Notamacropus eugenii: one gene and its partner. Each later gene encodes a partner of the first gene's protein in a complex. Links are inferred from orthologs where the notes say so. Each region holds a gene or a part of one and is shown on either strand. Other genes may lie near its edges.

Region 1 (7,958 bases):
CAGAATGTGGACAACGAAGAACTCTTCTTCCATGATGATTCTGGCTTACCTAACCAGTCAGCTTCCGTGGATCCTTACATAAAAGATTTGGGGGAAAGATGTGGTCTTGTGGGACTACCTAGGCCATATTTTCTTATCAAGGTGTATCAGTTAAGGATAGGGAGGCAGGTGATCTTGTATGGAGGACACTATCCAAGTGATCTCTTAAGAGGGAATGGAAATAGTTCTTGGGATTCGAAGGGTACTAAACTGTATCCTTCTTCCATTCTCTGCAACAGTAAAAGAATTATCAACCTGGGTCCAGTACACCCAGGTCCTCTGAGTCCAGAACCACAGCCCGTAGGTGTCAGCGTCAACTGTGGCCATTGCAAGAACACCTTTCTGGTGAGGAAGGATGGGACAAGCCGGGAAGGGGCTAGTAGACATTTATGAGAATATATTTCTGTAGATAATACTGAATGTGGGGAAGGTCAGTTATTGAAATCACCACTTTTGCCCTTTTTTGTCCATTCCCCTGTTCAGTCCTTGTGTTTTTCCATGGAATCCCTCAAAGAATTGACCTTACAGGCCATTTTTATTTCTGCTTCTACCATAAATTAACCCCTCATCCTATTTTCTCTATAGTGGACAGAGTTTACAGGTCGAACCTTGGCACGTTGCCCCCACTGCAAGAAAGTGTAAGTGATTTGGAATTGATATTATAAACCTACTTATCTGAGGGAGGAGGTAGGGGATGTTGACTATATAAGGATTACAAAGTCATGAAAGGCTTGCCACCTATGCTTATCCCTTCATAGCTCATCAATTGGGCGAAGATATCCCAGGAAGAGATGCATTTGCTGTTTCCTACTTGGGCTACTATTGGCTGTTACTGCCACAGGCTTAGCAGTGAGTAACTAGCTCTATCTCCTCTGACCTTTCACTTTTCATCTTCCTCTTTTCTACTTTCCCAAGTTCACTACTAGAATCAAAGGTTTCATAAGAGTAGTTTAAAAAAACCAAAAACCTGAGGTTTATCTGACCAAAAAATGGCTGATTGGGGATTGATGCAGTCTTCAGGATCAAATGGGAAAGGTTTTCTCTGCACAGAAAAGAACAAATGAAATGGCTAGTGATAGGAACAACTCTCAAATTGCAAGCTGATGTAACTTTGTCTTTTTTGTTTTTTGAAGGGGAGGCAGTCTGGGTTAAATGACTTGCCCAGGGTCCCATAGTCACTAAGTGTCTAAGGCCAGCTGCACTTGAATTCAAGTCCTCCTGATACCAGGGTCAGTTACTCTATACACTGTGACTCAGTAACACCTAGCTGCCATGTATAACTTTGTCGTAAGTGAGATTGGGAACTTAACTTTCCAGAGAATTTAAAGTAGAGAACTATATGCCCAGTGGGTAATAACTGCTGCTTCCACGAGGCAGATGAGGATTGAATGTCCCTGAAGAGTTGCATCTCATTTCTGATGTAATTGCCTATAGGTAGGGGTGGTAACTGAAGCTGGCTTGGACGCAATGGCTTATCAGGTGGTGGACTGACATTTTGGCACTGATTCCTTTTCTTCTTCCATATTCCTCTCCTAGTTTGGCACATGGAAGCATGCCCAACAGTATGGGGGTATCTACGCAGCTTGGGCATTTGTCATCCTGCTGGCTGTGCTCTGTCTAGGCAGGGCTCTCTACTGGGCCTGTATGAAGGTCAGCCACCCTGTCCAGAACTATTCTTGAGCCCCAGAATGATCCACTAACTGTGCCTGGCCCCTCTCCAGCAGGAACAGTGACACTACAAAGGGGAATGGGAAAGTCCCCTTGGCTTCCATAAGAGGAGCCAGGCTGTTGCCCTCCTCTTCTATAGGGGAAAGAAACAGGAAGGATCTGGGCCCTCAGAGACAAACAAGATTGGAAGGGTGGGTGGGCCACTGCTGAGGGCTGCCTGTGCTTGGGGTGGAGTGGGAGATAAAGTATCCTTACCCCAAGTTCCGGAAAATGGTTCTAGCTCTTTCCTTCCTCCATCCTCTCCTAAGGGGCCATTCCTGTCCCTCAGACATTCCAGGGCAGGGCAGGGGTAGGCAGCCCTGGGAGTTGTCCTCCCTTTTGCACCCCCAGGACCTTGCTGCTGCTATTGCACTTCACCAGGGGGTAACTCTAATTTGGCTGCCCTCTTGGCCTCCTCTCCCCACCCCTTTCCGTGCCCTGTGGGGGTGGGGTCAGCCGCTGCTCTGTACAGTACTATGGGAACCGATGTGTATATAGCTATTTAATGTGGGGCATGTTCCCCAACCTGTGCTCCCTCTCCCCAAGTCCTTCCTCTTACCGGCTGTGGCCGGTTTGTCTGTTTTGGGGGATCAGGGGCTCATCCTGTGCTTGTAAATAAAGTTGTGACTCCACCTTATTCCTTGTGTCACTTTTTTTTTTTTTTGAGTGGGGGAAGAAGAGATTCCAGATCCCTTCCAAAGGGGACAGGACATAAAAACCAAAAGGCTAGACCTCTACGGTTCTTTATTCTCAAATAGATATCTCAAAATCAAAGAAACAGTCCAGCATTTCTGGCTGCTGAAGAACCACTTTAAAATGCAGGATTACAAAGCCAGCAAGAGGGTGATAGGACAGTGGTCGCTACCTAGGGCCTTGGACCGGATCTTACTGTCACACAGGGCAGGGAGCAAGCTCCGGGACAGTAAGAAATAGTCAAGCCGCCAGCCAACATTCTTGGCTCGGGCATTCATCATGTAGGTCCAAAAAGTATAAGCATAAGCTGCCTCTGGATAGAGGTGACGGAAACTGTCAGTCAAGGGCACTGCTTGAAGCAGCTCCCCAAAACCTTGACGTTCCTGTGGGGTAAACCCAGCATTTTTCTTGTTTCCCTTGGGATTGCGCAAGTCAATCTCTTCATGGGCCACATTGAGGTCCCCGCAGAGCACAAGGGGCTTTTTGGCATTCAGCCCCTTCAGAAACTTGCGAAATGCTTCATCCCATTTTTGTCGATATTCCAGTCGAACCAGCCCTCGTCCTGCATTAGGTACGTAGGCTGTCACCAACACAAACGCTTCAAACTCAGCCACTATCACCCGGCCCTCCTGATCATGCTCCTCTTCACCTATGGAATGGACACAGCAAACCCAGATAAAGATCAAGCATTGGAAAGTGAAGGTGAGGCTGGGAAATGTTTCAAACACTTCCAGTCTCAGAGAGCAGTCAGGATAAGGGCAGCAAGGTATGTCTCACCAATGCCAAAGCTGACGTTGAGTGGGCGCTGCCGGGAAAGCAGACCAACGCCGCTGTAGCCTTCTTTATCTGTGGGTGAGGACCAGTACTGGTGGCTAAGGCCAGGCAGGTCCTGAAGCTCAGGCGGCAACTTGTTCTCTGAACATTTGGTTTCTTGGAGGCAAAGGATGTCAGGAGCTTCTTCCTTGACCCACTGTCCATGGAGAAAGGAAAGCAGATTACAAGAACTTGCTCATCCCAGACCATCACCCTCTGCCTCCTCCCCAACTCAGCGCATCCTAAAGCCTAAATTCCCCAAATGAGATGCTGGCATTTTAAGGAGAAAATCTTTAAACAGAGAAACCAACAGAACTAGACTCCCCAGAACAAGTCAACAGTTTGGAGTCATTTTCCCTTCCTGAGCGCCATACTCACATCCAGGCCCTTTTTCTTGATCCAGGCCCGGAGTCCATCCACGTTCCAGGAACATATCTTGAGCGTGAAGGGTTTGCCGCTGGGGGAGGTTCGCTGGTCTGGGGGGTCCTCGTACGTGGCAGACCCTTCCCCTGCTGCCTCCTTCTCCTTGGCACCCTTCTTGGTCTTCTTAGGCTCAGGCTCTGTTACAAGTTTTATTGGGAAAGGCCAGGGCGGATTTCACAAGGGTGATAGTAGACACTTCTACTTCGGGTGGCCCGTTATAGCCAGGTGACCACGGGGTCCACCCCATGGACACCTACTCTGCCCCCTTTTCCCACTTCGGGAGATCTGCACTGATCCAAGGTCCCCGGGTTACCTTTAGCCCCGGGCTCCTCCTCCCCGATCCCGTCCTTCGAAGAGGCCTCCTTCTTCCCTCGCTTTGGCATCCTGGCCCAGAACAGCGCCCCGCGGCCCAAGGCCCCTGCGGCCCCACGCAGCAGAATCCTGGCGCTGTGGACGCCTCTGCGGACACCGGGAATAGAGAAGAGATAGGGACGGTGCCGGCGGGGGAGGAGAGGGGCCGTTCCCCGGACAAGGCTGGGACATCCCTCCCTCCGCTCCGCGCTCCCTTCCCCCTTCCCCAAACATCCCGGGATCCCAGCCCCGGTTATTCCCGGCCCCCTCAGGCCCCAGCCTAACAACTTCGTACTGAGAGGCTCCTCGGCCGGCGGACGCTTCTCGCCCACGGCAGCTCTTACAGCACCGCCGACGGCCGGGAGCTCCGGAGGAATGCAGCCCGAAGCGGACTCCGCCGGGAAGATCCGAGCTGCTTCCTCCCGCCGACACAAAGAGCAGAACCCGCGATTCCCCACGTGGGGGAGCTGGCCCTGGTCACGTGGCCTCGGATCGCGGGCTTCCGAGCAGAGGAGACGTCCGGGATTGGCTGAGACCAAGCGCGGAGAGCCCGCCCCTCCATGTGACTCCGACGCGCGTCCGAGAGGTCTTCTCCCTCGGGGCTGTCTATCCTGGTGCCTTACGTGGGACTCCACCGTCCGAGCGGCCACGCAGGCTGTCACATGCAGGGGAGGGCCGCAAGAGTCCGGGAGGGCCTAGAAGAGACACGCTGGCTCGTGATGGGGCCGAGAGGAAAAGACGCCGAGTCACCCCCCACCCCCGGCAGTGGCTAGGGCGGACCCCACTAGGCGCAGGCCTCAGGAGAGGGGGCGGGGCCTTTGATCCCGTCGCCGTAGCGACGGGGGCGGGGCAAAAGAACTGCGCTGTTCGTGGCCGGGTAAGCCGGGCTCTGACCGCTCCAGCCGTGTTCCGGTCAGTCCGCGCCGTGTTCCGTGACCTCTTCTGGCCGCGGCAGCGTCGGCGTGGGCGGGGGCGGGCTAAGGGCAGAGCTCCATGAGCCCCCGGGACCTCTGTCTGACCCCGCAGCCCCAGCCATGCCCACGGTGCTCGGTTTCGAGGGGAGCGCCAACAAGATCGGCGTGGGCATCGTGAGAGATGGAGCGGTGCTGGCCAACCCTCGGCGGACCTACCTCACCCCTCCGGGCACCGGTCAGTGGGTGCGGGGCGGGGGAGGGGAGCTGTGCCCACCCTGCCCGCTCGCAGGCCGTGCCGCGCAGTGGGGTGATGACGGGTAGATGCCCGCGTTTGTTGGGTGGGCGGTGGGCAGCGCGGCCACGACCCGCCTCGTTGTACGGGTGGACGTTGATCGCGGTGACTCCAAAACGCTTCCCCTGTTTTCTCCCCGGACGCCTCCCGTAATTCTCCCGTGCTCGGACACTGTGGTCAGCGCGGACGCGGGAGCCGAAGTCCGAGGGCTCGGGAGCCCGGGTCACCGCAGCCCAGGGGGGGTCACCGCAGCCCGGGTCACCGCAGCCCAGGGGGGTCACCGCAGCCCGGGTCACCGCAGCCCGGGTCACCGCAGCCCAGGGTCACCGCAGCCCAGGGTCACCGCAGCCCGGGTCACCGCTGGGGTTAGAACCCAGGCCGAGGACAGCCGGATCTGGAGGCCCGGCCCCTGGGGCTGGAGCTCCAAGGCGGGTCTTTCTGGCTCTTCTGCTGCCCTTTCCCTGGAGCCAGAGCCAGGGCTGACCTCGAGTTCCCTGAACGGTGACTTCCTGGGGTACTTTTCCAAAAGAAGGTGTGTGACCTCGGACCCTCGTATCCAAATCTCCACAGGGTTTCTGCCGGGAGACACTGCCCGGCACCACCGAGCTTGCGTGCTGGACCTGCTGCAAGAGGCGCTGACCGAAGCCGGACTCCACCCTAAGGACATTGACTGCGTGGCCTTTACCAAGGGTATGGGTGGAGCAGCGGCCTTGGGGTGGGAAAGGACTGAGGCTCTTCTAGCTCCAAATCTGTACCGTAGAGGACCCACCCCTACTTCTCCTTCACTGCAGGCCCTGGAATGGGTGCCCCCCTCGTCTCGGTGGCTATCGTTGCCCGAACCGTGGCCCAGTTGTGGAATAAGCCCTTGGTGGCTGTGAATCATTGCGTGGGCCACATTGAGATGGGCCGCCTCATCACTGGAGCTACCAGTCCAACGGTGCTCTATGTCAGCGGTGGAAACACTCAGGTACCGGGGAAACGCTGCTTACCCCTCCTTCCGACTCTAGGCGCTTTCATTTTAAATGAGTAGCAGGAGGCTGTAAAAGAAGTATCCATTTACATGTTACAATGATGCATCAGGAAACATCACACGTGCAGAACTGTGATGTAGCACACCGCTACTAAGGATACATCAGCAACCGTTTTAAGACATAGCCAGCTACTAAGAAAAAGGTCTAGGAAGTTCTGTTTTAAATGCTCAACAGAATGAGGTGGTATCCAGGTAAATTACGAAGTTTAGAGTTTTGTCATCTAGAAAGATAAAGGCTGAAAAAGATGATGATCCAAGTCTGAAGGATTTGGATAAGGGAAACATGTTTGTTTACCACATCCCAGAACACTAGAGCCGAGGATATTCATCAAAGCTGCCTCAGAGCATCGTCAATACTCTTGTGAAAACTGGACCTAGTTTTTCTTCCATTTTACCATCCTTTGTTGTAGTTTCCTCAAGGTGGCTAGTGAACCAGCATTGATTCAAACACTTAAGAGGAGCTTACTGTTTAACTATAGGTAGTTACCATCTTATGTATTTATCAAAATGTGCAGAGTTTAGGTATATCATTATCATTGCCCCGTGTGGGCTGATATATTTATGTATTTGTATACCATATATGTTATATATGTATATTATATATTTATAGGTTGATGCAGAGGTCCTTAACTTGGGATTCTTGATTTTCTTTATTTTTTGATAATTGTATTTCAGTATTATTTATTTAATAGTCCTAAGCGTGTAAAAGCATTATTGTGAAAAAGGGTCCATAGGCTTCACTAGACTGTCAAAGAGGTCTGTGACACCAAAAAGGTTAAGAAAACCTGGTGTGATGGGGCTCAGATACAGAGACAGTTACAGTATGCTTACAGTAAGCATAGTGATACAGAAAGTCTGAGAGGGAATGAGGTCCCAGAGTGAGGTTGAAGGAGCAATAGCAGGGGTCTTACTGCCGCTGAATAGCTTCTCCCTTATTCCTTGCCGCTAGCCCTCTGCTGTTGACTGGCACTGGAAGGAGGAGAAAAATTTGGAACCAAGATTTGGGGTGGGAACAGCAGGTATTACTGTCGATGAGTGGGGCACAGATTGTAGTTGCAATGGAAGGGCCCCAGCTGGAGTTCAGGAGAAGGAACATTCCTCATCTGTATCTCACTGGGATAAACTATTCCTATGTAAGGGTTCTTTATTGACTACCAGGTGTTCATAAGTAGGAAAACTATTTACTGATTGGGCTAAAAAATGAGTGTAAATCAATGAGATATTCCCTATTGTCTAGATTCCTCTGCTCTGTTCATGGTATATACTTAAACTCCCTCTAGCCTTTGGAATGGCTTCTGCAGGACCCCTTCTTCCTACTTTCATATAGGATAGCCTCTTTTACAGTTCAGACTGACAGTGCCCTGTCCTCAAAAGATAAATGCTCAAAGAATGTGTAGAATTTCACAGGCTAGATAAATTTCATTGAACTGGATATCTGTTTTTAGCTCTTTTATGGACTAGCTAAAACTACTCTTGGCTTCCATGGGCTATGTCCTATAGAAGGAATATAGGGAATAATTCAATCAAAAACTAGAGAAGCTATCTCTTCCCCATTTTATCTTAGAAGTCTTAGTTACCATATTGATTGATTGTAATGTCCTCCCCAGACTCAGGGTTTCATGGACACCCCTACCTCCTTTAGGTGATTTCATACTCAGAGCATCGCTACCGAATCTTTGGCGAAACTATCGACATT
Region 2 (7,802 bases), about 23 Mb from region 1:
GGTAATCTAATTTGTAGTTCCTTTAATTTTGTTCTAAACTGTAGACCTTGATGACTTTACCACTTAGCTTTGCAAACAAGTAATAAAGAGATTGGATTCTAATGCGGATTAAGCTAACTGCTAAGGGAATTAAAAAAAAATTTCCTTTCTACCCATCCAATTGCAATTGATTTTATTAATTAAATGATTGATAAATCTTACTTACCGGAAGTAATTTGCATTCCAGGTTTTTAAACTTGCTATTTCCACAATCACAGCGAAAATTTCTGAAACAAAGGAGCAAGGTAATAATTTCAATTTATTCAAAAAATGTAATGTCTTACTTTTTACGTTCAGGAGTCAGGTTACAATCATGCTTCTTTTTTTTTTTAAAGTGGGCTTGGTTACTATGACCTGATCCCTGAACAAAAGTAATAAGAAAAAAATTGTACAGTCCCAGAAAAGAAAGAGGCCAAAAAGAATGCAGAAATAAGTAAAATTACTACAGATAAGGGTCACTTCCTTGATCCCAAGTATGTAAATTTAAACAAATGTAAATCAATTTGTTCTTTAACTGTAATTTTAAAAACTGCTCCCAAAAACTAATCCATATTAAAAACAATTATGATTACATTGTTTCATTAGCATACATCAGCTTTAATCACTTCTACACCTTTATAAAATCAGTTTTAAATGAAAAAATTGGGGCTAAAGGAAATACAGTTAAGAAGGCAAAGACTATATAAAGTATACCTCTTTGGACTGGAGTTAACATTTAAGAACTAATCCAGATATTTTAATGCTCTCTGAACAACTTTACCTTTTTGTATATAGCTCAAATAATTTATGACTTCCATGGCATTCATAACTGCATGCTAAACAAATTCCTGCTGGTTCCTCTCCTTCTGGGGTGCATGTGCTGCAGGCATATAATGCTTGTCTTTTTACAGAGCCCTGTCAGATGCACAAAGAGGAAGAAGAAAATCATCAAGAAAACAAATTCATTCAAAAGTGGTACAGCTGGCACTAAGCACTCTTTGTGATCTACATAATAAATGAAATTTAATTCAAAACCCATAGACATCTGTAAAGGTCTTCCCACACCGACTTACAAGCCTCTTTTTTAAAAGCACAACAGTACCATAAAATGGGGTATAGTTCAAAGGAGAAAGCATGTACAGTGGAACAAGCAGAAGCTCTCGATCACAGGGCCCTGGGTTCAAATCTTGCCTCTGACACTACCAATGTAACCTTGGACATGACACCTTACTTTTCCTGGCTTCAGTTTCCTCACCTACAAAATGAAGGTCTTAGTCTAGATGTCTTCTGAAGTTCCTTTCAACTTTACCTCTATGACAATGACATCCATATATGTACTGAGAATTTTAATACACCTTTCATTTAGGGCCCAGCCTACCTTTCGAACCATATAGTCTATGCTGTTTCTATTTCAGTCATATCTTTCCTTTTATTATTTTAAAATGTTTTATAATGACCAGCTTCTGTATCTTGAGTCGTATCACAAATCATTACAATTGCTTCCCATTTAAAAAGCCCTTTCCCAACCATTAAAATTCTATTCATTCTTCAAGGTCCAGCCCAAATTCTAGGTCCTCTGTAAACCTTTCTCTGACCCCTTCAATCTGAAATTCTCCCTTCCCTCTTCAGTCCTAAAATTCACTCGTTTGCTCATTTTGCACTTACTATTTACTGCCTAATATTTCTAGTCATTTTGTGTGTGTGTACATGCCCCTGGGCAGCTAGGTGGTGCAGTGGATAGAGCACCAGTGCAGGAGGACCTGAGTTCAAATCTCACCTCAGACACTTGACACTCACTAGCTGTGTGATCTTGGGCAAGTCACTTAACCCCAACTGCCTCATCCTGGGTCATCTCCAGTCATCTTGTTGAATATCTGGTCACTGGATTCAGATGGCTCTGGAGGAGAAGTGAGGCTGGTGACCTGCACAGCCCTCCCTCACTCAAAACAAAGTCAAGTCCAAGTCATGGTCTTCTTTGGCAACGAAGGACGAACACACGAACACACACACACACACACACGACCCAGTTCGGTTCCCAACTTCAAAAATCCATGAAGAAAAGAACCATGTCTTAAACATGTCTACATAAAGTCAATGCTCAAGAAAGGTATTTTATTAATTAAACTACACAAAAAATGAGCTGTTGTGGTCAATAAAGGTTTTGCCAAAATATAATTCTTCCAACCCCTTTTAAAACTCTAAAATGAATTAGGGAACTGCTTTGCCTTAATAATTATAGTTTGGGATAGATAACAATATTTGATGACTGAAAATCTTTTAGTGTCTCATCATCACTGCATATCAAGAAAGATCATAAAAGGTTATAGGAATAGATGTGGATGATGTAGGGGTTGTGCCCCCAGACATCTTAAAATACACTTTTTGTATTAAAATGCTTATACTACTTGCCTTATGGCTTAAATCTTTCATAAAAATGGGAAACAGCAAAATAAATTTAGCTAATTAAGTGTTAGCAGGGTTCTGGTTAATCAACATTTTACAATGTTGGTATTTCTGAGAACATGAAAATAATTAACCATCATATTTTCATCTTGGAAAATGTTTGGTCAACTTAGATATTTAAATCTGAAAGACAATTTACTTTATGGAAGAATAATGCCTTCTCCCCTTCCTCCCTTACAGAACAAACAGGTTTTTGCCTACCCACCTGCTGCAAATCAAGCTTTTTAAAAAAATCACCTCTGAGGTGTTTTAGCACAGCCCCAGGTGCTCTCTCCTAAAAGGCTACCAGGTTTAAACTCTCATTAAGATCAAGGCCTGAAGCATACCACCTCTAAGGTAAAGAGTATCGCCTCCAATCCCAAAGAGAACTCGATACTGAGAATTATTATTTAATGCTGCAGCAGCTCACACGTTTCTCAATGGCTGCTGTATTATGTTAGTCCACACCAGAAAACGTCTTCAAGTCCCTTTCTCTCCACACTCCACTAAGCTTTCTGGACAGGGATCTCTGCACATTTTAATTCTTCCGTCTAGTGTCCTTACTGCACTTCTACGCACCCCTAGCCGGTAAAGGGAACCCCTATAACCTTCATCCTTCCGCAGTCTTCAATGCCAAATCTGCTCTCTTCTCTCCCTTTTCCCCTATTATCCGCTCTTCTGGTTCCTAATCTAACGTTGAAAGCAGAGCTTCTACAAATAACTCGTTTCTACAAAATACTACATCACATCCACGCAACTGGACAGGACGTCCCTGACCCTCACCTCCCAAAGAAGCCAGCCCACAACTTACTATCCCTTCTTGCTCGCCCTAGGACGGGGAAATGCGATTTGGAGAGGGGGGGGGGGGGGGCAGGATAAAAGGCCTGAACCAAGAGGAGGGGAGGAAAGGAAGGAATGGGGTTTTCGCAAACAGTGACACTAAGAATAAGGCAGAGAGGTCCTGAGGAAAGGGGCACTGGGGGGGAAGGCAGGGGAGAAGACAAGGTGGGGGGGGACAGGGCCACCCTATCTATGAAAGGGAATGGGTGGGGGGTGGGCAAAGCCTCCGGGAGCTAACAGAAACGGGGGGGGGCGGGGAATAAAGAAGGGGAAGGGGGCGACGCTGGGAAGAGGACAGACCAAGAACGGGGGCATCTCCGTGCGCGCTCACTGGCCATCCCCTCCCATCTCCCACCTTCTGCAAGGAGCCTCCCTGATCCCCTTAATCCTGGAGTCTTCCCCAGGATTATTCATACTTTAGCCAGCATTTTTCCAGTTTGCACACGGCAGTTTACAGACTGGCCTCAGGCCAACAAGCATTTATTAAACGCCTACTGCGTGCCCGGCACGGCGCTGGGCGGCGGAGGCAGAGAAGGTCAAGAGCCACGCGGCTGGGCGACGTCCTCGGAGGGCAAGGACCACGCTAGCGGACTACCTGACCTCCAGGACGGGGGGTGGGGGGGCTGAGGACCCTGCGAGGCAGACGAGCCTTTAAGAGAGAACCAGGAAGCAGAGAATTCCGGAGCGGGAGCCGAGACACATCAGGAGTGAAGGGGTCGGGCTGGGAATGGGAAGGTGGGGGAGAAGTTGGGGGCCGGGAAGGGCGGGGCAGGCTGGGAATCCCGGAGAAGAGCGGGTCCGCACGGGGGTGGGAACTCCCTAAAGGAGAGGTGAAAGGGCAAAGAATGACGGGGTGGCCCTCCGTGGAGAGGAGGCAGGCCCAGGCCGGGCCCGAAGGCGCCCGGACTGAGCCCCGGGCACGGGAGCCCCGGGCACTGGAGCGGAGGCTCGCGCGGGCCCGGGCCGTGAGCCCCCCAATCTCGGCCCCGGCCCCCCGCCCACCTGCGAGTAGGAGCACTTCTCCGAGTCGCTGCCGCCCAGCACCGCGCAGGCCTCGTTCTCCAGCTCTTCGTCCTCCTCTAACACGTCCACCAACGACACCACGGGCTCCTGCTCGGACAGCCGACCCCCGCCCCGCTCGGCTCCCGCCATGCTCAACTGTCAGCCGGCAGGCCCGGAGCTCCACATCGGGGGCGGCGGGAAAACTGCGCGCGAGGGGTGTAGCCGGAGATGGAGGAACCCCGCCCCTCCAACTCCCAAAACCAATCAGAGCGCCGGGAGGAGAAGGCGGAGCGCGGGGGGCGCCGATTGCGGAAACGGAAGTTCAGGGGAGGCGGGAGGTGCCGAATGCGTAGGCTTTTTTTTTTTTTTTTTTTTTTTTGGTTTCCTATCCCCTCCCTTTTCCTCTCCCTCCCCCCCCCCCCGCCCCACTCCCCTCCCTCTGGTGGCTGCTGCGGCGGCAAGGGCCGCTTCCGTTTCCGGGTCGCTCCGGTGGCGGGCAGTTGAAGAACTGCCGTCATGGAGCTTCTGGGAGAGTTTGTGGGACGAGATGGGAAGCAGCAGCGGCTCCGAATAACTTGTGAGGGGCCGAGTGAGGCAGGCCGCTTCCAGGGACTGCTGTCGGGGTTGGCGCAGATGAGGGAGCAGGTGACCGAGCTCCTTCAAACTGTGGAAGGAAGAGAGGCGCGGGACCCGGCGGCGGCTGGAGGCTCCACCTCGGCCTCGGAGGGTGAGCCGGGCGGCGGCCCCGTTCCCCTGGCAACGGCGGGGGCGGGGGTCCTGGGCGGGGCTCTTTGTTCGGGGCGGGGGAGGACGGCGAGGCCGAGGCCAGGCTGAGCCCGGGGCCGAAGGGTGCTTGGTCCTGGTTGGTGACTTCTGAGGACGGGGTCCGGGGGCAGTGATGGGCTTCGAATTCTGACTCGAAAATGTCGGAGACGCCCTTCCAGCCCTGAATCCTCCGATCCGCAATGTCGCATTTACGTCTAGTCGGGTTGCTTTTGTCTTTTGAGGCCTCACAGCCTAAGTTAGTGCTCAAGTGTTGTCCGTTCTTTGGAGGAAAAAATAGCTATGATGATTGGAAAAAATGAGAAAGGAAAAATAATTGCAAACATTTATATAGAGTGCTGTCCGATTTCCTTAAAATCTTTCCTTAGGACAAACCCTGGGAAGTGGAAAGTGCAAGTGTGAATCCCCATTTTGTTTTTTACAGATGAGTATAAGCAGAGGTTCAGAAAGGTTATTTGCCAAAGGGCACACAGCTAGTAGGTGGCAGAGGGTACTCAAACCCTGCGCCTCGGACACCAAATCCTTTGCCCTTTTGCTCTTTCCACTGTACAAAACTGCTTTATCTTCTATGGTATAGTGTAGTACTTTTGAGCATCTACTACGAAAAGTATAGTATTTAGAGTTTCCGCTATGGTGCAAGGTGGTTCTTAGAGCATCTAAGTACTTCCCACCAAACAAAACTGCTTTACTGACCATCTACGAGGGTGAGGTTCGGTACTTAGAACATCTACTGTGGTGAAGTGTGGATGCTCTAAGTACTACATTGTATCGTGGCAGTAAAGCAACTTTGTATCTTCGAAGAACATCTAAGTACTGGACTGGATTTAACTGGAAGGAACTTTTTATTTTACCAGCTAGGGAAGGGATCTAGAGAGCAGAAGTGGCATGTCTAAATTGACACTGGTAATAGCAGAGCCAGGATACAGACTCAAGTCTTCTGACTTTGAGTCCAGGCTCTTTCCAATACAACACTAAAATATTAAAAAAAAAAAATCCATAATATTGTTAGTGTTGACAGATCCTTCCATGCCGTAGTAGATAGTTTTATAAGTTGCTGTAGTGGAAAAAGAAATTATGCAGTGATAAATCTCTCTGAATGTAGCAAGGCTGGCCCACTCAGAAGGGGTCCTTGCAATGCCCTTATTTGAAATCTTTCCTGCTTGTTAGCATTTGCCGGAGCTTGTTCTCTATGAGGGTAGCTTTCAAGAAATAAAGGTCCTGTCCACACCAATATGAGGCAGAAGAGAAAGACTTAAGTGGAGGTATCTTGCATATCTCAGTTTTATAGGTGGACAAACTGAGGCACCAATCCTTAAATGGCTTACCCATGTCATATAGGCACTGCACTTTGTGGTTGTACTTAGTGCCCAAATTGAATTGTCTGGCCATTTTTCTTTTGCCTGCTGCCAGTAGTATTATTATTTACTTAGGGACAAATAGGTGGTTTAGACATTAAAGTCATTAGACCTCAGACATTTACTGCTATATCACCTGGGGTAAGTTATTTAACCTCTCTTAGCTTCAGTTTTCTCATTTGTAAAAGGGGATAACAACAGCCCTTATATGACAGGGTTGCTGTGAGGATAAAGTAACATTATATAGACATATACATACATATATGTCTATATAATACTATTTAGGTGCTCGCTGTTACCACTTATTATTAGAATTATTTCACACACACATATAATACATTAAAAAATATTTGAGGAATGATTATGGTGCTCTTCCCTACTAGTGTGTGGACACTACTGAAAAACAAATCAACAATAGTACTGTAGGTTGGTTAGCTCTTTTAGGGCATGATATTGACACCAAGATGATAGTTTCCGTCCTTGTATAAACTAGGTAGTTTGGCTAATGAACCAAGTGGGGAGTTTCTATGGTTTCTAGCTTCAAACTCTGTTCCTGTCTTCTTGAAATAGCATGCTGTTGGCTGATCGATCATTAGGGAAGTACCACTACCCTATTTCAAAAATAATAAAAAAAACAACCTCTATCAACAACAGGTTAATAGTGTCAGAATTGTGCAGAAATAGTACAATTGTACATAATTGTACAGAATAGCAATTTTTAAAATTCAGGAATAGAATGAGACATTGCTGGATTATTTACCTCGTAAATTTAAAAGAGGTACATTTAATAACTCAAAAGTAATAATGTGCGTGCTTTTTTACCTCAGAAGTAAACATTATGTTATAAAATGCTTTGTCATTTTAAAAGTACTTTACGTATGTCATCTCCTCTGATCTCATTAACAGCCCCTTTTAGCTGTCCTTCAAGAATATTGTCATACAACAAATATTTGTTATTTTAAAAGGTGAAGACGATGAGGCTGAAGATGAAGAAAGTAACACTCAAAACAAAATTTACTCATCGGGACCACCTGCAAAACGGATAAAACCTTTACATAGTCTTGAATGTAGTTTTGGAGTAAAAAACTTTGGCTAAATCTTGGTATAAATATTTGGTATATATTGAGATCTTGCAAAATTTGTACTTGATTTTGGAAACGCATCTGTTTTTACCTTGGCTATTCTGTCAAAGGAAAATGTTTCTTCTGTATATTGCCAACCAAAAAAAAATATGATGAATGTTTGAAAATAAAATCATTCCTCTTGAGTGAGGATATCATTTCAATCAACAAGCATTTATTAAGCGCCTATTAGATGCTAGTCACTGCAGATACAAAAATTAAACAGCTCCTACCTCAGGGA

What was found.
Region 2: OSGEP (region 1) and GON7 share a complex: the UniProt entries of both Homo sapiens proteins name them as parts of the EKC/KEOPS complex. The link is inferred for Notamacropus eugenii from reciprocal best matches to the Homo sapiens genes OSGEP and GON7.

What each region holds. Positions count from the first base shown.
Region 1 is NC_092878.1:13,804,696-13,812,653, forward strand, and holds the start of OSGEP (tRNA N6-adenosine threonylcarbamoyltransferase), read left to right. Parts: upstream 1-4,713; 5' UTR 4,714-5,060; coding exon 5,061-5,175; intron 5,176-5,802; coding exon 5,803-5,922; intron 5,923-6,023; coding exon 6,024-6,199; intron 6,200-7,904; coding exon 7,905-7,958. Other genes in the region: PIP4P1 (type 1 phosphatidylinositol 4,5-bisphosphate 4-phosphatase), read left to right, coding at 279-384, 625-677, 798-888, 1,576-1,719; DNA repair nuclease/redox regulator APEX1, read right to left, coding at 2,571-3,088, 3,217-3,409, 3,631-3,812, 3,989-4,058. UniProt on the Homo sapiens protein: Component of the EKC/KEOPS complex that is required for the formation of a threonylcarbamoyl group on adenosine at position 37 (t(6)A37) in tRNAs that read codons beginning with adenine.
Region 2 is NC_092878.1:36,898,646-36,906,447, forward strand, and holds GON7 (EKC/KEOPS complex subunit GON7), read left to right. Parts: upstream 1-4,651; 5' UTR 4,652-4,818; coding exon 4,819-5,029; intron 5,030-7,405; coding exon 7,406-7,536; 3' UTR 7,537-7,725; downstream 7,726-7,802. Other genes in the region: putative E3 ubiquitin-protein ligase UBR7, read right to left, coding at 206-266, 800-933, 4,303-4,452. UniProt on the Homo sapiens protein: Component of the EKC/KEOPS complex that is required for the formation of a threonylcarbamoyl group on adenosine at position 37 (t(6)A37) in tRNAs that read codons beginning with adenine.